Linked DNA regions of Elephas maximus indicus. The protein of the gene in region 1 purifies or fractionates together with the protein of each later gene. This does not show direct contact. Links are inferred from orthologs where the notes say so. Each region holds a gene or a part of one and is shown on either strand. Other genes may lie near its edges.

Region 1 (8,406 bases):
GATGCATCTGGGTAGAAAGCTGCCCCAGCTTCTCCCTGGGAAGTCGCTTTTGTAAAGAAGTCCCTGATTTCAACTTCTTTTCCATCTCTCCCCATCTTCTCATACACCCAGAGGGCAGAAACACAGTAGGCTGTTTTGGTGACTTGAGGGGCTGACCCGGCCATCATCTGGTATGTGAGGCCCCGATATCAGCTCGCATGCCAGCGACTACAGCAGGGGACAAGACTGCCCACTTAGCGCCAGGAAACCCAAAGGCCACCGAGGCCAGGCTCCCGACCAAGCGCTGAGGTATCACCGCTGAGCCTTGGCACTGCTCTGATCCCTGACCCAAACTCCAAGGGTCCTGCATTACACACGCCCGTGTTCTCATTAGGCCTCTCTGCAAGGCACACCTGGCCTGGTGCTGCTGACACTCCAGTTCATGACCTTCCCGACTACAGTGCAAAAAAGAAGTGGGATAAGATGTCTTCATTTAAAAGAAGTACTCAGATGCCTCACTCGACTTCCATAGGCCGCCTTGGGTGGCTCCGCGGGCCCTTGAGGGCCACCCCCACCCTGTACTCCTGGCTCACTCCACCCCCTGTGCAGCCCTATCACCTCGGGGCTGGCAAGAAGTGGCCTTCAGCCTGGGCCTGGCACCAGGCCTGCCTATTTTTAAACGCAGATAAAGGCGGGGTGGGGGGTGGCAAGAGCAAAGCAAGTGGCCCCACCCCCCCGCCTCAAGGGTCCCGCAGGCGACCCCCATCAATAGATGAGGGGTGCCCCACTTTGGATCCTGCCACCATGTGGCCCCGGGCAGGAGCGATTCAGCAAGAGAAAGTACACTGGTGCCCAGCCCAAGGCCTGGGGCTGCACCCCGATGGCCACCCAGGGCGGGAAGGACCTCGGGACAGACGGAGTGTGTCCAGAAGCAAGAAGCGGTGTTATTTAGAACCATGGGGATGCAGAGCCCAAATCTCCCCAGGCAGCAGCCTCCCAAGTGATGCCATGGGGAGTGGGGGTTCCAAGGTCAAGGATCCCCACATGGGGCCTCCTACCCCGGCTCCAGCCCAACCGCTGGGACCCTGCCCAAGGCCCGAGGGGGTTGGTGGTCACAAAGACAGACAGATGTGTCCTCTGGACGGTCTGTGCAGTCCCACCTCTCATGCACAGAACAGCAGTGGCCGCCCAGGCCTCTCAGCATGCCTGGTATCTCTAACGTGCTTTTCAAAACATTAAGGACAACTCTGGATCAAGGAAAGGCTCCAAGAGAAATTCCACTTAGATAAGTCTCTGACTCCCACATTCCGTCTGACCCAACGGTGTGGGCTGGGTTTGTTTTTAGTTCCCTTTCGGAACAAGCAAAATGGAGCAAGGGCGCAGGAGCACATCAAATCTTTTTCCCGGGGTCACCATGTGGCGTAACATCGCCCAGGACTTAGGACTGCAGACTGGAGCACGCCCACGTCAGGACTACACTTTCCCCGGCACTGGGGTTCCTCCAAACTGGACACCCAAAGGCCACCGGCAAGCACGGTGAAGTGCCCTCGTCCACCCTGAAGCAAGGGACCCAGAACTACAAGCCAGGAGAGACCAGAGACATGCCGCACGGTGGCTCTGGGGCATGCTGCCTGGGTGCAAAGCCAGCACAGCCCCCGAACAGTGGGACCCTCAGCCAGTCGTTCAACCTGCCTGGGCCTCAGTTCTCCCTGCTGTAAAATGGTGTCCCAAAGGCACCTACTTCCAGGGTGTGTTTTGAGAATCACGTAACAAATTGCACTAACACACTTTGTGCACAGGCCCAGCATGCAGAAAGCACCCCAGACTCGTCAGCTATCGTTTTACAGGTAAGAAAGCTGGAAACCCAGGGGATCAGAAGGAGCCACAGATCTCCTCTGGCCCCCGAGCTGGGTGCCTAATGAAACAGGACGGACGGATAACCCGAGTGGTGTCTAAGAATTCGGCATGGCATTAACAGGAGTACAGGGTCACGGCCCCGTAGGGTTCCCAGAGGAGGATATGAGCAAAGTAAGGGGTCTGTAGATGTGAAACCTCGGCTACCACAGCAGAGACACTTGGGGTTTTAGTTGAGATCAAATATGGAACTACCACTGTGGCTAGCCATTGCTTCAGCAGGTGAGGCGCTCTGCTCCTGATCTCGGTGAGTCTGATTTTCTAGATCAGAAAGGCGTGAATGTGGCAAGTCAAGGACCCACATCCCAGGGCGTTCCACAGAGCACGAGAGGGGCCAGGCCAGGAGAGGAGATGCAGTCACCCTCTGGCACCCACAGGGCCACTGGCAGGGGGCTTGGCCACAGCAGAATCCCAAGTCCCTGCCTCTGGGCGCCCCAGCACTGTGGTCTGCTGTGCGCCAGGAGCCACTATCGCCACAGCTGCACGTGTGCAGGAGCGAGCGCCGAAATGACGCGCTTCCACCCCTCCCACCACACAACCCAGCCACCACCAGAGAAACGGCACGTGCCCGTCCATGCCCCTCTCACTCTAAACCCAGGCCCTGCGACCAGCCATCAGTAGCAGGATGCCAGGGGCCCCTCGCCGAGTTTCCATGCTCTGAGCCGCTTCTAGACGGCCAGCCACCAGGTCGCCGTGCCGAGTCCCCGCACAGCTATGTAACAAGCACAGAGCAGCGGCACACGTTTTTCAAAAGACTCCGGGTTCATACTTTACCTTCTCCGAGACGTCTGCTTGGCTCCCAGGACCCTCCAGCCTGCCCTCCCAGAGCTGCTGGGCCTTCACAGAGAAGCAAACTCACACCCGCCTCCCGGCACTCACGGCTGAAGAATTCCAGCGCTCCGCCCTGACATCTGGTTTCCATTTCATACCCGTGTTGTCAGATTACATAACAAGCAGATGATACACGGGCTCACGCAGAAGGCTCGACACCACTGTTTACTTTCCGGCCCATGAGTGAGCGTTCTGCCAAACCCGATTTTGTGCGGGGCCATGTCGCCCAAGCTCCCACCAGCTCGCACCTCAAGTGCCCTGGAGGTCAGGAGCAAGGCACCGCCTTCTGGGGCACTCGCTCATTTACAAGGCCAGTTCTCTCCCTCTGCTTCCACGTACAAGTTTGAGAGCACTATAACCTCTCCGCAGCCTGAATTTGATTTTAGGGCACCTGAAGTGAGGTGTTTGTTAGCTGTAGAAGATGTGGGGAACTGCACTTCCGGGCTGGACTGACTGACTGCATGATCGCAACCAGAAAGGGCCGGGCGTCTGTGCGGCGGACGGGACGTGGGGGACTTACGTGTGAAGAAGAGTTCAAGTCATGTAGGGTTTCTCCACCCCAGGCGTAAGCATTCCAGGAACTTGAGGAGCCTTATCTGGGAAGAAAGCGCCCTACCCACCCCACCCCCAGCTTAGTTGGGAAGCTGTAAGGGCAGTTGTTGTTTAGTAGGACATTCCAGCGTGCACTGCAGGCTATGATGTTGCAATGGCCAACGTGGAAACACGCAGCCCCTTGGCGCACTCCTGAAGCTGCTCCCAGACATACCACCAGCTGCCTCTGAAGGCACGGGGGAGGGGTTGGCCCAGGTCGCCACTGCCAGCCAGCATCAGGCAGGAGCCTGGAGCTCCGTGATCAGCCATCATCCTGCTCAGAATAAGGTTATCTGTGTTGTGGCATGTATCAGGACTTCATTTTTCTTCACAGCTCAGTGGGATCCCACGTGTGAGCACTGTCACACATGGGAGCAGCATCCCACATGTGAGCAGTGTCCCATGCATGAGGGACGCCCCACACGTGAGCGGCGTCCCACATGTGAGCAGTATTCCACGTGTGAGTGGTGTCCCACATGTGAGCTGCATTCCACGTGTGAGTGGCATCCCACGTGTGAGCAGTATTCCACCTGTGAATGGTGTCCCACCTGAGAATGGTGTTCCACCTATGAGTGGTGTCCCACATGTGGGTAGTATTCCACCTATGAGTGGTGTCCCACATTGAGCAGTATTCCACCCGTGAGCGGCGTCCCACGTGTGAGCAGTATTCCACCCGTGAGTGGCGTCTCACGTGTGAGCGACATTCCACCTGTGAGTGGTGTCCCACGTGTGAGCAGTATTCCACGAGTGGTGTCCCACATATGCACAGTATTCCACCTGTGAGTGGCGTCCCACGTGTGCGCGGCGTTCCACCCGTGAGTGGCGTCCCACGTGTGCGCGGCGTTCCACCCGTGAGTGGCGTCCCACGTGGGAGCGGCGTTCCACCCGTGAGTGGCGTCCCACGTGTGCGCGGCGTTCCACCCGTGAGTGGCGTCCCACGTGTGTGCGGCGTTCCACCCGTGAGTGGCGTCCCACGTGTGCGCGGCGTTTCACCCGTGGGCGGCGTCCCACGTGTGTGCTGCTTCCCACGTCTGAGTGGTATTCCACACATCGGCAGCATCCCACACGAGAAGCATCCCGTGTGCAAGCATCCACTGCCCTGCTCAGCACAGGTTCATTCGCTCTTCACGGCTGAGTAGCATTCCATGTACGAGTGGCCACTGTCTTCAGTCAAGACAGCCTGCTCCCACAGTGGCAGTGACGACCTGAGGAGCCAGGTACCTTAGGTGTCACATGCGGCAGGTGGTCAGAAGCGAAACCCCGGGGCGCACAGTCCAGAGCAATCATTTCAGCCAAGTGAACAGTTCCATCCGTGAGAGACAGGCCTCTGACAACATCTCCTTACTGATGCCCTGGAGCATGAGGGCCGACGGATGAGGGGGAAACCGAAGCGTCCACGGACCTGGGGCCAGTTCTTGTCCCCGACGTGGGTGGGAGCCCAAGCCCCACAGTGGTCCAGGGCTCTGTGAGAGCACACTCAACTCCAGAGCCAGCGTGGTGGTCAGCTGACTCTCCTCCTGAACCAGGGCCTGGGGATGCTCACTGAGGAAAAGCCATGCACGTGCGGCACTCAACAAGAATGAAAGTTTATCTACAGGAGAGAGTACTGCCCACCAAGAACACGAGGCTTGGGTGGAGGGAAGTCCTCGCTAGGAGATGCCACTTAGCTTGAGTCCTGCGGGCAGTGTGGGGTGGAACTTCGGAGCAGATGGAGAGCATACACCAGGACACGGGCAGCCAGCGGCTGCCCGTCACTAGGAGCTTGGTTATGCCCTTCTCTCTGGCCCTTACAGGGTGAGAAGGCAAAGGTGCAGGTGGCATCAGCAGACAGGTGCCCAAAACAAAGGAGGACCTGGACACTGAAGGCTGAGCCAGCGTACGCACAAGGACAGGGCTCAGAGCCGAGCTGGCTTCACAGAGCACGCCCGAGAGTGTACAGACCCTCCAAACTCAGGCCCCACATGCCACCCAGCCAGCTGGACACCCTCAACCAACAGGCAACTCTTCTTCATCCTTTAACATACCCTTTCATTTAAGCAATTCCATAGTGTAGCAGTTATCACGTCTGCTTTACACGCAGAAGGTCCTGGGTTCAAGCCCCAGTAGAACTATATGGGGACTCCTTTGGAAACCCTGGCAGCATAGTGGTTAAAAGCTATAGCTGCTAACCAAAATCTGCAGTTTGAATCCACCAGGCGTTCCTTGGAAACCTTATGGGGCAGTTCTACTCTGTCCTACAGGGTCGCTATCAGTCGGAATCGACTTGATGGCAATGGGTTTGTTTTTTTGTTTGTTTGTTTGTTTTTCATTTAGTAGCCTGGAACATCACTTCCCTAAGCTGGGTCCCTCTCTGCAGACATGTGTGTTCTCTTCCTGTTGTGCTGATGGAGTTAAAGCAGGGCCCATGGGAAGGGGTAGCAAGCAGTGCTCGTGTCACTGCACAGATGTCCACAGCCAGGCGCACTGGGCCCAGGAACCATTGAAGGTGGCCCTCATCACCATGCCAACACCCTTCCTCTAAAAGAGACACAGGATGAAATGCTGAACCCTGTCTCCACAGCCTGGCCTCTGACTTAGGTGGCATCCACATCCAGTGACAAGCCCTAGGACAAAGCTGACGTCAGCCTGTCTGAGCCACATTCTTCAGCCAGCACGGAGCCATCATCCTGTCACCTGCTATGAGCACCCTTCCAAACCCTAGGGTGATGCCTGCGGCCTTTCAGCCTGAGACAGGCTGGTTTCCCACCCCTGGGAGGTTACCGCACTTCTGTCCACCGTGCGCCTGCTCGGCGCTGGCCCTGCTCTCTGAGGGTATCAGTCCTGAGCAGTCAAACCAAAGAAAAGGATCCCACCCCTCCCATAAAGGCAAATCAAGGTTTGTAAGCCTGGCGGACACACGTCAGCATCAGCCACATGTGTCTAAACCAGCGGGGTGGGGAGATTCCAGCCCAAGCCCAGAACGTGGCTGAGAGGTGGTGAGAGATGATGGAAAAGCAAATTCCGCTCCTGGGGAGTGAGAGCAGCTCAAATGCTCTTCCCCAGCTCCCCTACTGCTCCTGAGAAGGGGCCCCTGGTAGCCTCTTCACTCAGGAGCCTAGGGGACCACCAAAGGTCAAAAGCCAGAGGGCCAGTGATGGCCACCCACCTGTCTCTCACCCCTCCTTCCTCTTCCTCTGCACCCACAATGGAGGCCGCAGCTCCTACACCTGCACCCCACTGGCTAAGCCACCAGATGAGGCAGGCCGTCTCCCCCAGCACCAATGGGGAAGCCCCCAGGAAGGCTCCCATGCCCGTGCCATGGCCGGGGCACTGCCACAGTCCTACCTCAGACAGCTTTCCTACATGGTAGGCTGGGGTGGTGTATGCTCCAGAATAAAGAGAGGGAATGGCACCCCCGAAGCCCCAGGGCACGGGCCTTGCTTGCAAACACCAGGATGGAGCTGCGAGCCGAGGCCTGGGGGCAGGTCCCCAAGGAGAGGCGCCACCATGTCCTGCAGGCCAGGTGCAGGGCTTGGTCAGGACACCACTGCGGCTCCCTCTGGGACAGCCTTTCTCTCACTAAGCCCTGGGTGATGCAGGGTGGGATGAGGACTTTGCTTACCCATCTCCAGGCAGGGCCCCTCAGCCTTGCCCCTGCACAGAAGCCTCTGTGGTCACTGCCGGCCCAAGAGCTCTCGGCCAGGGACTGGCCCTCTGGGAGCCCGAGCAAGCTGGGGAGTACACACGTGGTGGCCATCCAACACTGCAGGCCCAGGCACGTGTGACCACAGGCCCAGCTAAGCAGTGCACTTTGGGAAAAGCCGAGGACAAGTGAGCACAGAGGGACTGCCCCAATGGCACCTTCTCCACATGTCCCCTGGAGCCCCCAACTGAAAGACTCACCAGCGCGAACCCTGGGAGCCTACCTGTGCCCACTGGCTGTCCCAGCAGTTCTCACATCTCCCAGCAACCCACAAGCTGGCATCAGCTCCGCTGCCCAACAACACCACAGAGGCTCAGAGGCTCAGACAGTGTTCTCAGGGCCACACGGCAACAACGCGGCTGTCCTGACTCAGGCGGCAGGCTCCACCTGCTGTACCATCCCAATGCCACAGGGGCTGCCTCCCCGGGTTTACAGAGTGGGGACACCATCCACGACATGGCCCGTAGTGCACGTGCCCTCCACAGCTCTCCCCCTCCCCACACCAGAAGAAGATGCCCACTGGCACGGTGGTGTCTAACCTGCAGCTTCACTCTGCTGGCTGCCTGCCCCGGGAAGCGGCGCCTGGGACCTGAGGCCCTGGAGGAGAAGCTGCGGTCACTGGTACTGCTCACCTCCGTCTTAATCAACAAGCCACTGACGAGAGAAGGAACCTCTGTCAGGAGGAATTGAAAACCAACCCCCAATCGTGGCTGTAACAGATCCCAACAGCGCTGACACGTACTACCAAAAAAAAAGAAAATCACACTGGGAAAGGATGCACTAAGTGGCCAAGACAGCCTACATAGCCACTGTATCGGTCTGCGAGGGCCGCCGAAACAAAGCACCACAAAGTAGGTGGCACAGAACAACAGAGGCATGTTCTGTGGCAGCTCGAAGGCCAGGAGTCTGAACTTAAGGCGACGGCAGGGTCGTGCTCTCCAGAGGCTCTGAGGGAAGGTCCTTCCTTATTGCTCAGCTGCTGGTGACGCAGGCGTCCCTGGGCTTGTGGCTGCGTCACCCCCACCTCAGCCTCTATCTTCACATGGCCTCCTGGACTTTATGTCTGTCTGTCTGCCTGTCTCCATGTTTCCTCTCCTCTTCTGTCAGACCCCACTCAGAAGGGGTTAGGGCCCACCTTCCTCCAGTTCGACCTCAAGTTAACTGGCAGCATCGTCAAAGACCCTCTTTCCAAACGTGGCACAGGTGCAGGGTCCAGACCTGGACGTACCTTTTGGGCGACACAATTCAAGCTGTGGTTCTCTGCCAGGTCGAGTGGTACCAGGTTCCACTTCACGAAGAAAGCACCTCTCATAGAGGCAGGCGACCAGTCCCAGCCTCGAGCCAGGCGTGATGGCCCACCCGTCCCGTGCTCCCCTACTCCTGGGCTCATGGGACACACACTTCTGGCA
Region 2 (8,236 bases), on another chromosome or scaffold:
GTGAGTTTTGATTTGTGAATGGTTCTATTCAATAAGGATTAATTCTGTGTGTTTGATAAAATCTTAGTGCCTTCAGTGAGTTAGCTTTTCCCCCCTCTGCAGTTTATTTAACCATCAAATATTTCACTGTTCTGTTAACAAACTGGAACATTTCTATCTTACTGAATTTAGCTTTAGCATGACTGATTTAAACAAGTCAGACTATCAGTGATTAGCTTGAAGGGTGTAATTGAATAGATTAATTTTTGTTCTTTTAAAAGAGCTAAAATGTATCTTAATGTAATCATGTATATTTCATGCCCTCCTTGTGATTTAAAGACTTTCACGCCTTTCTTGTGATTTACACAGACTAACAAAATTTTTTCCCTGTTATTTCTTTTAAATCTTTGACATTTTAAAATATTTTTAAAATTTAAAAGTGAACAATTTTTCTTTAAAAATTAGGATTATTATAAATTAAAATATTTACAATACAAGTTTTTGGGAATTGTGTTGACATTGCTAGCTTTTAATATATGTAGAGTAGCCTTCTCATTATGTTCTTGACTTTTTAATTCTTTTCCCTGTTATTTTGGAATGTAGCACTCTTATTTTAGGAGCAAGTTAGGACACTTTATCACTAGTAAATCTTGACAGTATAAAGCTATTATTACTAATATGGACCACAACTATTGTTTCGGAAATCAGTGTTCACACATCATTTGCAGTCAATTACTACGGTCAGATACAAAGATTTTATGTAGAAATTTAATTAGTTAGATGATACCATTTCATAAATAAGTTCTTAATTGTAGAACTACATGAGTCACATCTATCATTTTCTATAGCTTTTGTTTATGATAAATAACATTTTGAGTAGCTCACAGATTTTGAAAATTATTGATTAATTCAAGGTAAATGGTATTCTGGAGGAGCAAGGACACAGATTTTATCTTTCTCATGTGCGCGCGCGCACACACACACACATGCACGCACTACACACTTCATTATATTTAAGGAGAGGCTGTCAGTCAACGGTATGCTTTGTCCCTCACCTAGGAAAAGCCTAAGCTTTCTTTTTAACTACTTCACAAAGCCGGGGCACGTGCTTTTGACATTTCATTGTTGATGGTTATAATCATCATATAAGAATTTAAAACCTGAAGTGAAGTTTTAGACTTCAAATAGATTATAGAATGGGAAAATGTTTGCAGTGTGATGATAACCTATACATAATGTCCCTTGCCCACCCTGTAATTAGGTTGGTCTGGGGGTTCATGTTAAGTTCTCTATCCAGGCTCTAAGGCACTGTGGTGGCAGAAGGGGGAGTGAAATCCGCCTTTCAGAAGAAAAAAGATTCCTTGCAATGTTTAGTCAAAAGTATGACAGGCAATTGAAGATGACCTTTATCTGCTCAGTTCACTATTATCCCTTGTGTAGAAACTTGATCAAATTTCAGAAATCTTAATGTAAAAATGGTTATTAAAATGTCAGGGAAATATAAGACACCTGATAGAAAATATAAGACCATTTTAACTTACTCTCTCTGTCAATAATAATAGCTTTACTTCTAGTGCTGGAGTATTCCCTGGAACTCGTGGTGCTCCCAATATAGTTAGAAAAGTGTATTTTTTTTTCTCTTTAATAGAGTAATATTGTTAAAAATTAACTGCTTGATATGCCTGTTTTGTTATCTCTCTATATGACAATGATTTTAACCATTTTTTTCCTCTCATCTCTTGGGTAATAAGACTAAAAATTCCCATGTATAAGCTGTAATTATAAGATGTAGTACAGTCTAGTTGTATTTATGTTCTGCTCTCTTAATATAGAAGTTTTTAGATTAATGCTTAAAACCCACCATTACATTTAAAAAATAATTTGTGATTATTGTATGCATTATAACTGAGGGGGTCCACTTATGGTTATTGAGGAGGTCACTACAATAATTTTACATTTTTTGTAATATACAAAGTACACTTCCTCGCTGTTTAAAAGAAACCCTTTTTCCCCCCTTCAGATTTAATTATTTCTCTTTGACCTAAACTAAGACTGATCCTCAAGTAGTAGCCAGTTAAAATGTGTGTGAAGTAGGAGGAGTAAAGGAAACCCCAATCATTAGTTGTAAGTTACAAAGCAATGTTAATATAGGTATACACAGCAAAAGGATTTATTTTAAAGGATGTAAGAAAATTTTAGAAACTTGCATTATAGTTGGAGCATGTTGGACATCATAAAGAAAATCTTGTAAGTGCTTAGATTTTTACTATAATACCATGGCAGCAGACAGATGTTAAAATAGTTTACATATCTGTATCAACACTAACTTGAAATTAGGTATTAAGGGATTATATTATGCATGTTTTAAAATCCAGCTTGATTTAATAGGTATGGCTCTTTTAAATCAAGCAGGGTATCCTTACGGAGCTTTATTTTTCATGAGACTAAATGGTATTCATTTTGGTAGGTCCAAGAATGTGATTAAAAGAATCTTAGACGTTTCAGTGTTTGTTATGTGTTTATAACAAGTTCTACAAATGGATAATAGTGTCTAGATGTAAAAATAAAATTATATAGGAAACACAATTGCATGTAATTTTTTAAAGACTTCTCTGAACTTTTTAATATTCTAGGCAACTGTAAAGATCTTTTAAAAATGGTTATTGTATACCTATAATTTTATTTCAGTTGAATATATGCTTCAGTTTTATAAAGCTGTTTAGAAATAGACTTGTGCAGATACCTTATAAAGCAGTTTAAAATTGTAAATAGATTTCTTTTAGTCGAGCTGGTTCAAATGTTAACTGTAGGCTTATTTCTGTTTTGCATGGTAGAGCATAATGTTGGGATAATTCTGTGGTCTGTTATTTTGTAAAATTGCTTCCTTTTTGAAGTTTGCTCAAATATTGGGAGCCGCCGGAGTCAATAATTTATAATACTTTGATTAACTTAGTGTCTAGTTTTATTCCAGTGAGGGTTAAAGACAATATTAAGCTGTTTCTTTTTACTGTTTTAGCATTCTCATTTCCATAACTCTAGAAGACATTTTGATTAATGCGAAGTAACTTATTTTTGAATATTTCAAGCCATTACTCTGAGAATTAGATAAGTGGCAGATGCCAAATGCAAATATGTATAGCAATTTCATCTTTTAGTATTTTAGTGCAACAATACAGCATTATTTTGATCTTTAATATACTGTTACCTTCAAGAGCTAGCACTTTATCTAAGACATATAGCTTTATGTTTAACAGGTTCATCTCTTATAGTATTTTAAAATATGATAACACTTACCCCAAAAGAAGTTTTGCTGACATGGTGTCACAGTGCTGAAGAGGCTGTTTGATGCCATAGTCCCTCCTTTTTTTTTTCAGATAGAACTTGTACCCTCTGTTGTAAATACTGCTTGTAGCCTTAAACTGAAAACACAAACCATACCCAAATCTTGTTTTAGTTTTACAGTATGCCTGGAGTACATAGACTTTCTATTTATTTTTTTCTGTCAAGAAATTATGTCGCTGGTAACATGTGAAAAGCAGGGAAACAAAACAAAAAGAGAATGAGCAAATATTTGAAGGCCCTACTATTACTGCATAGACTGTGGTTTGAGAGCACTCACTGACTCTGTTGGTCTCGGTGGCTGGTAGTGACCTGCGGAGATTAACCATTTAAAAACCAGAGACTTCTTGCTGTCCTCCTGGAGAAAGTTTGCACCGCACTTGTGGTTCTGTGGTTGTTTGTGAGGCGAATGAAGCATTCACACAATCCAAAAAAGCAAAAGCTTTAAAACTCCTTTTTTTTGCAAGCACTATTACTGGAGAGACAGAATCATGTGGTTTGTGACCTCACAGAACTCAAAGTAAAGTGGGACTGCCTACCACTGTGGCTTTTTCCCCCTTGCTCTTGCTCTCTTTCTCTCTCTCTCTCTCTGACAAAAGGCTTGTGGTAAGGCCCTTCCTGGCATCCAGAAGGATATAGCTTTTTAATTTTTGTGACTCATGAGGATTTGGATAGAATACAAATGCTGAAGGAGCCCAAACTCCTGTAAGGTTAAGCATCTGTAGAGCAGAACTCTGTTCTTTCCTTCCTACCACCCCACCCCCCCACCCGCCCCCTTTTTTTTTTGCCTCCTCCTTTTAGTTTATTATTGTGTCTGTGGAAGAGTGAGCAAAATTTGGCTCAAGTGGCTGTGCGAAATTCTGAACAACAGTGATGATTTACAATAATTTACATCTTTGGATTGTATCACATTCTGGGGTCTGCTTCATATTTGCTGGGTGGCTGGATTCCTTCTGTTTTTCTTTTTCTTAAACTTGTGAGTCTGTAACTCATTGTAAAAAAAAAAAAAGTTTACCTTTCTTAAGGTCTGGTTGTGAACTGCTTGCTGGGCTGGACTGTAATTGGCTGTCATGAAAGTGTTAGTCTGGAGATACCTTTACAAATATTAATTTATGTCTGTATAGCTTATGGATTATCAATATTAGATGGCAACGTCTCTACAATAAAGATTGACTGTAACATCACATATACTTTTACGTCACAACTAATTTGAGGGTTTTATAAAAATGAATGGCAAGAATTGTAAGATAGTTTATTGAATGAGTCTTAGTTTTCTTTATGCTTGTAGTACAATTATTATCTTTCAAGGAAATGCATTCATTTTGTAGAATTCTTCAGTTTATTTGGCGCCATTAACTTTAACAGAGTCTTTGATAGCAAATCTTATGCATTCATAAAGTAAAATACTTACATTATGACTTAGATTGTTCAGTGTTAGACTTTATATGCTCAGGATGGAGTGGGTTAAGAGAAGCTGAATTTTTTGTTTATAATGGAAGCTTTGAAATAAATTACAAAATGCTGTGTGTAGTGAGGAATAATGCACACAGACAGAGTATGTTAGTCGTCTCGATTTGCTAATTCTGATTCAGAAGAAAATTGGAAACATCTTTGGGAAACTATCTCCTTTTTTGCCCCTTTGGACATGTATGTATAGAACTCATTTTCTTATTAGGATGATTGTATATCATAGGCAGTGAAATTTATATTTATGAATAGGGCTTCCTGTTTTCATCAATTGAGAGCGAGGGGTATTTTTCAACAAAAATTATAAAGCCGAACATACCAATTTTCTAGGCATTTTTGCGATTTATCCACGCCACACTGAACTTGCGTGTGTTCAGTTGTTAGACTTCTTCCTAGTGTGATAGTAACTAGGAGTGGCGTGAAGTCAATGACTTGGAGAATGGGCGGAGACAGTGAGTTACAAAACATTTTTGGGGGTGTACAATGGGATAATAAGGGCTGGGGAAATACTCAGGAGGGTGTTAGAGCTAAAATACCCCTGCACGTGGTGTTCTTAGCACAGTTCATTATCTGCTATTGCTGTACAAATATGTCCATAAATTTCTTTACAAAAATTTTTGATTTGTCCAAAACATGCTGGGATGACACAGGAATTATTTTAATCTCTTTTTCAAATGTCCAGAGCTTTTTCATACATTTTAATGATTTCTTTTAAGCACATATTTATCCTGCTGATTTTGTGTATAATCAGGTTTTATATCGAGAAGCAACAATTTTCATTTAACACACTTATTCACGTAAAAGGGAGAAAATAAATTATTTGGGTATTCTATTTCATAAATAAGGTGCTGGTATGATCTATATATCTAATTAGTATCTAAAGTAAATAAAAGAAGGGTTTTGTTCATAATTTATGGAAGTTTAAACTCTTCTGCACATGTAATAGCAGAGTGAGGCAATTGAAAATTTTGGGTAACTGCTGTAGTTTGATAAGTAAATGATTTTCTTCCTTTAGGATAAGGTTTTTGTTTATGCATCAGGGTTCTCTGACATTCAGACAACCCCAACTTTTTGCTGAGTATTTTCTTCCTTATTTTCTTTTTGTCTTATGTATACTTTGGTCCATGAAAACTGGAGTAATTTTTAACATCAATGTGCCTTCTAATTACTTGTTCTCTTATTGCAGGTTACCCTCCTGCACAAAATCTTTGGGTCAGAATCATCACTCAATGCAGAAGAGTTTGGTAGATATTGTTTAATAGGTCCTTTCCTTTTGGTCTTGCGTGAGGCCGATCACAGCCTGGCAGGAGAAAGATAGCGAAATTATGTGTTTTAAAGTTTGCATATTTATTATCCACACATAATTTTTTTTTCCTAAATTGAAAATATATCTTTTTTTGTGGTAGAAATTTTAAAACAACACTGATAACTGGTACGCATTTGATAATTGACAGTTTGTTTCATTCAAAATAGCTTGTTACGTGTGATGAAGAGAGATTGATTCAGAAAAGCTAATGTGCAAATAAACCTCTTGATTATAGATTTGTATCCATGTTTGTAATCACAAATGAAAACCACAGGACTTTTTTTGTTTGTTTGTTTTTTAAGACCTTCACAACTTCATCCTGCTGGAGGTATGTTAGCATCTGCTATGTTTAAGTAAGCAGCAAGTTTAGGTCTACTGTGTAAATTATGTTCTTTAATGTTACGGAAATGAGATACAGCTTACTGCAAAAAGTCAAAAAGTTAGTGTCTTGCTTCCCCATTACTTTGTATTTAATAAACGTTGTCAGAATTGGTTGAAATTTTTAAGATACCAAAACGTTTACAAATAATACATTATAAACTGCTTTAAGTGCTACGTATGTCTTCATTGTTACCATTTGAATTTTTTTCCTGAACTAACGATAGTATTTTAATACACTACTTTTCCTTTACCAATATCGTTCTTGTTTCCGTGCTTTTTGTTTATCTGTTTTTAGGATTGTGTTAGAGTTCTATTTGTCACCAGTGTCTTTTTCTTTTAATTGAAAACAATAGGAGCAGAAGCCTTGATGTGGGAATTTTATAAACTATAGGAGTCTTAATTTGGCTTAATATGTTCTCACTGATTATGAGGTTTTCGCAAAAGTTTTTTAATTTATTGTTTCAATTTGGTATGTGACAGTTTATTTTTTATTTTTATTTTTGATATATAGCTGCTCAAACTTACATAGCATTTATTGGGCCTTATATTGATGCCTTGTAAATTTTTTATATTAGTAAAATAAGTATAGTTTTGTTAGTATTTTAAATTATGATTACAAGAGATTAATTCCATTTCCTTATTTTAGTGAGGTGTATGCCTGCATACAGAACTGCACACACGTGTGTGGTGGTGGTTGTGCGTAGGGCGATGCTTTGTAGCAATTTTTATGGGAGTATTTTTTGTTTCTATTTTAATTAAATTTATAAAATCCCAAAGCATCACCATTTCCTTGATTGTTTGAACCGTTTGACTTGGTTAATTGTTAATCTCAGTTTAAATGTGAGATTATGTGGAAATTGGATGCCAAAAGAGAAAGTACTAAACTAACTTTCTGTTCTCTCTCCCCCTTCACTGTACTTCGGCCTTTTTGTTTGTTTGTTTCTCTTTTCTCTGACTTTTTTATAAAGTCTCAAAGTAGATTCTTAAAATTCTAGTAAGGGATATTGACATTAATCCTTCTAATGAATACCTAGCAGGTTAGAAGCTCATAACATTCATTGCAACTTATTGTTACGTTCTGATATATTATACCTCATTTGTTAGGCGTGTGTGGGCATTGTGTTGGCTTCTGTCTACAAAGATTTTCTTTCTTTTAATTGTTTTCACTTGGTCCTTGAATCCTTCCTTTATGTTATTTTGCTTTAGCACGTTGCTTCATGTGTCATTAACACTTTAATTATGAGATTAGTTTTTGTTTCTTTTTTCTCTGACTGTACTTTGAAGTGCAGAGTGATCCATACTTGTTTAATATAGCCATATAAGTAATTTATGTTTCTTATAATTATTGGGACAATTCATCTTCTAATGCTGTCATTTCCGCAAGTAGGAAAAAAAAAGGCGAGAACTTGCAGAAAATATGGGAAACATGCTCGTATGACAGCTGAGGATGTGGCTAGGCTAAAGCAGGAAACTACTACCCACAATGCAATGTTACATACACTACCACTTAATAAAATTTATATCAAACATGCTACTGACAAAACCAAAGAAAAATAATATCCCAACTATGCTAGTTAATGATACTAAATATATCTAGGGAAAAGTGAAACTAATCTTTTTAGAACTTTTGTACTTACAGAATATAGTAAATGAAACTGGGACATCATAGCACGTTGGAGCTCAGCCGAAACTTTGTCACAGAGTTTGTGCTATGGGACTTGGTTGTAGGGGAAACTGTCTCATAATGAAAACGTTTTTGGGTAT

The links. The genes of interacting proteins can lie anywhere in the genome.
Region 2: the proteins of HDAC4 (region 1) and RUNX2 purify together in Homo sapiens (affinity purification with western blotting; 3 studies listed by BioGRID). This does not show direct contact. The link is inferred for Elephas maximus indicus from reciprocal best matches to the Homo sapiens genes HDAC4 and RUNX2.

Annotation. Positions count from the first base shown.
Region 1 is NC_064824.1:141,302,257-141,310,662, forward strand, and holds the start of HDAC4 (histone deacetylase 4), read right to left. Parts: upstream 3,320-8,406; 5' UTR 2,816-3,319; coding exon 2,668-2,815; intron 1-2,667. UniProt on the Homo sapiens protein: Responsible for the deacetylation of lysine residues on the N-terminal part of the core histones (H2A, H2B, H3 and H4).
Region 2 is NC_064819.1:109,903,949-109,912,184, reverse strand, and holds the start of RUNX2 (runt-related transcription factor 2), read right to left. Parts: upstream 3,347-8,236; 5' UTR 3,332-3,346; coding exon 3,274-3,331; intron 1-3,273. UniProt on the Homo sapiens protein: Transcription factor involved in osteoblastic differentiation and skeletal morphogenesis. Essential for the maturation of osteoblasts and both intramembranous and endochondral ossification.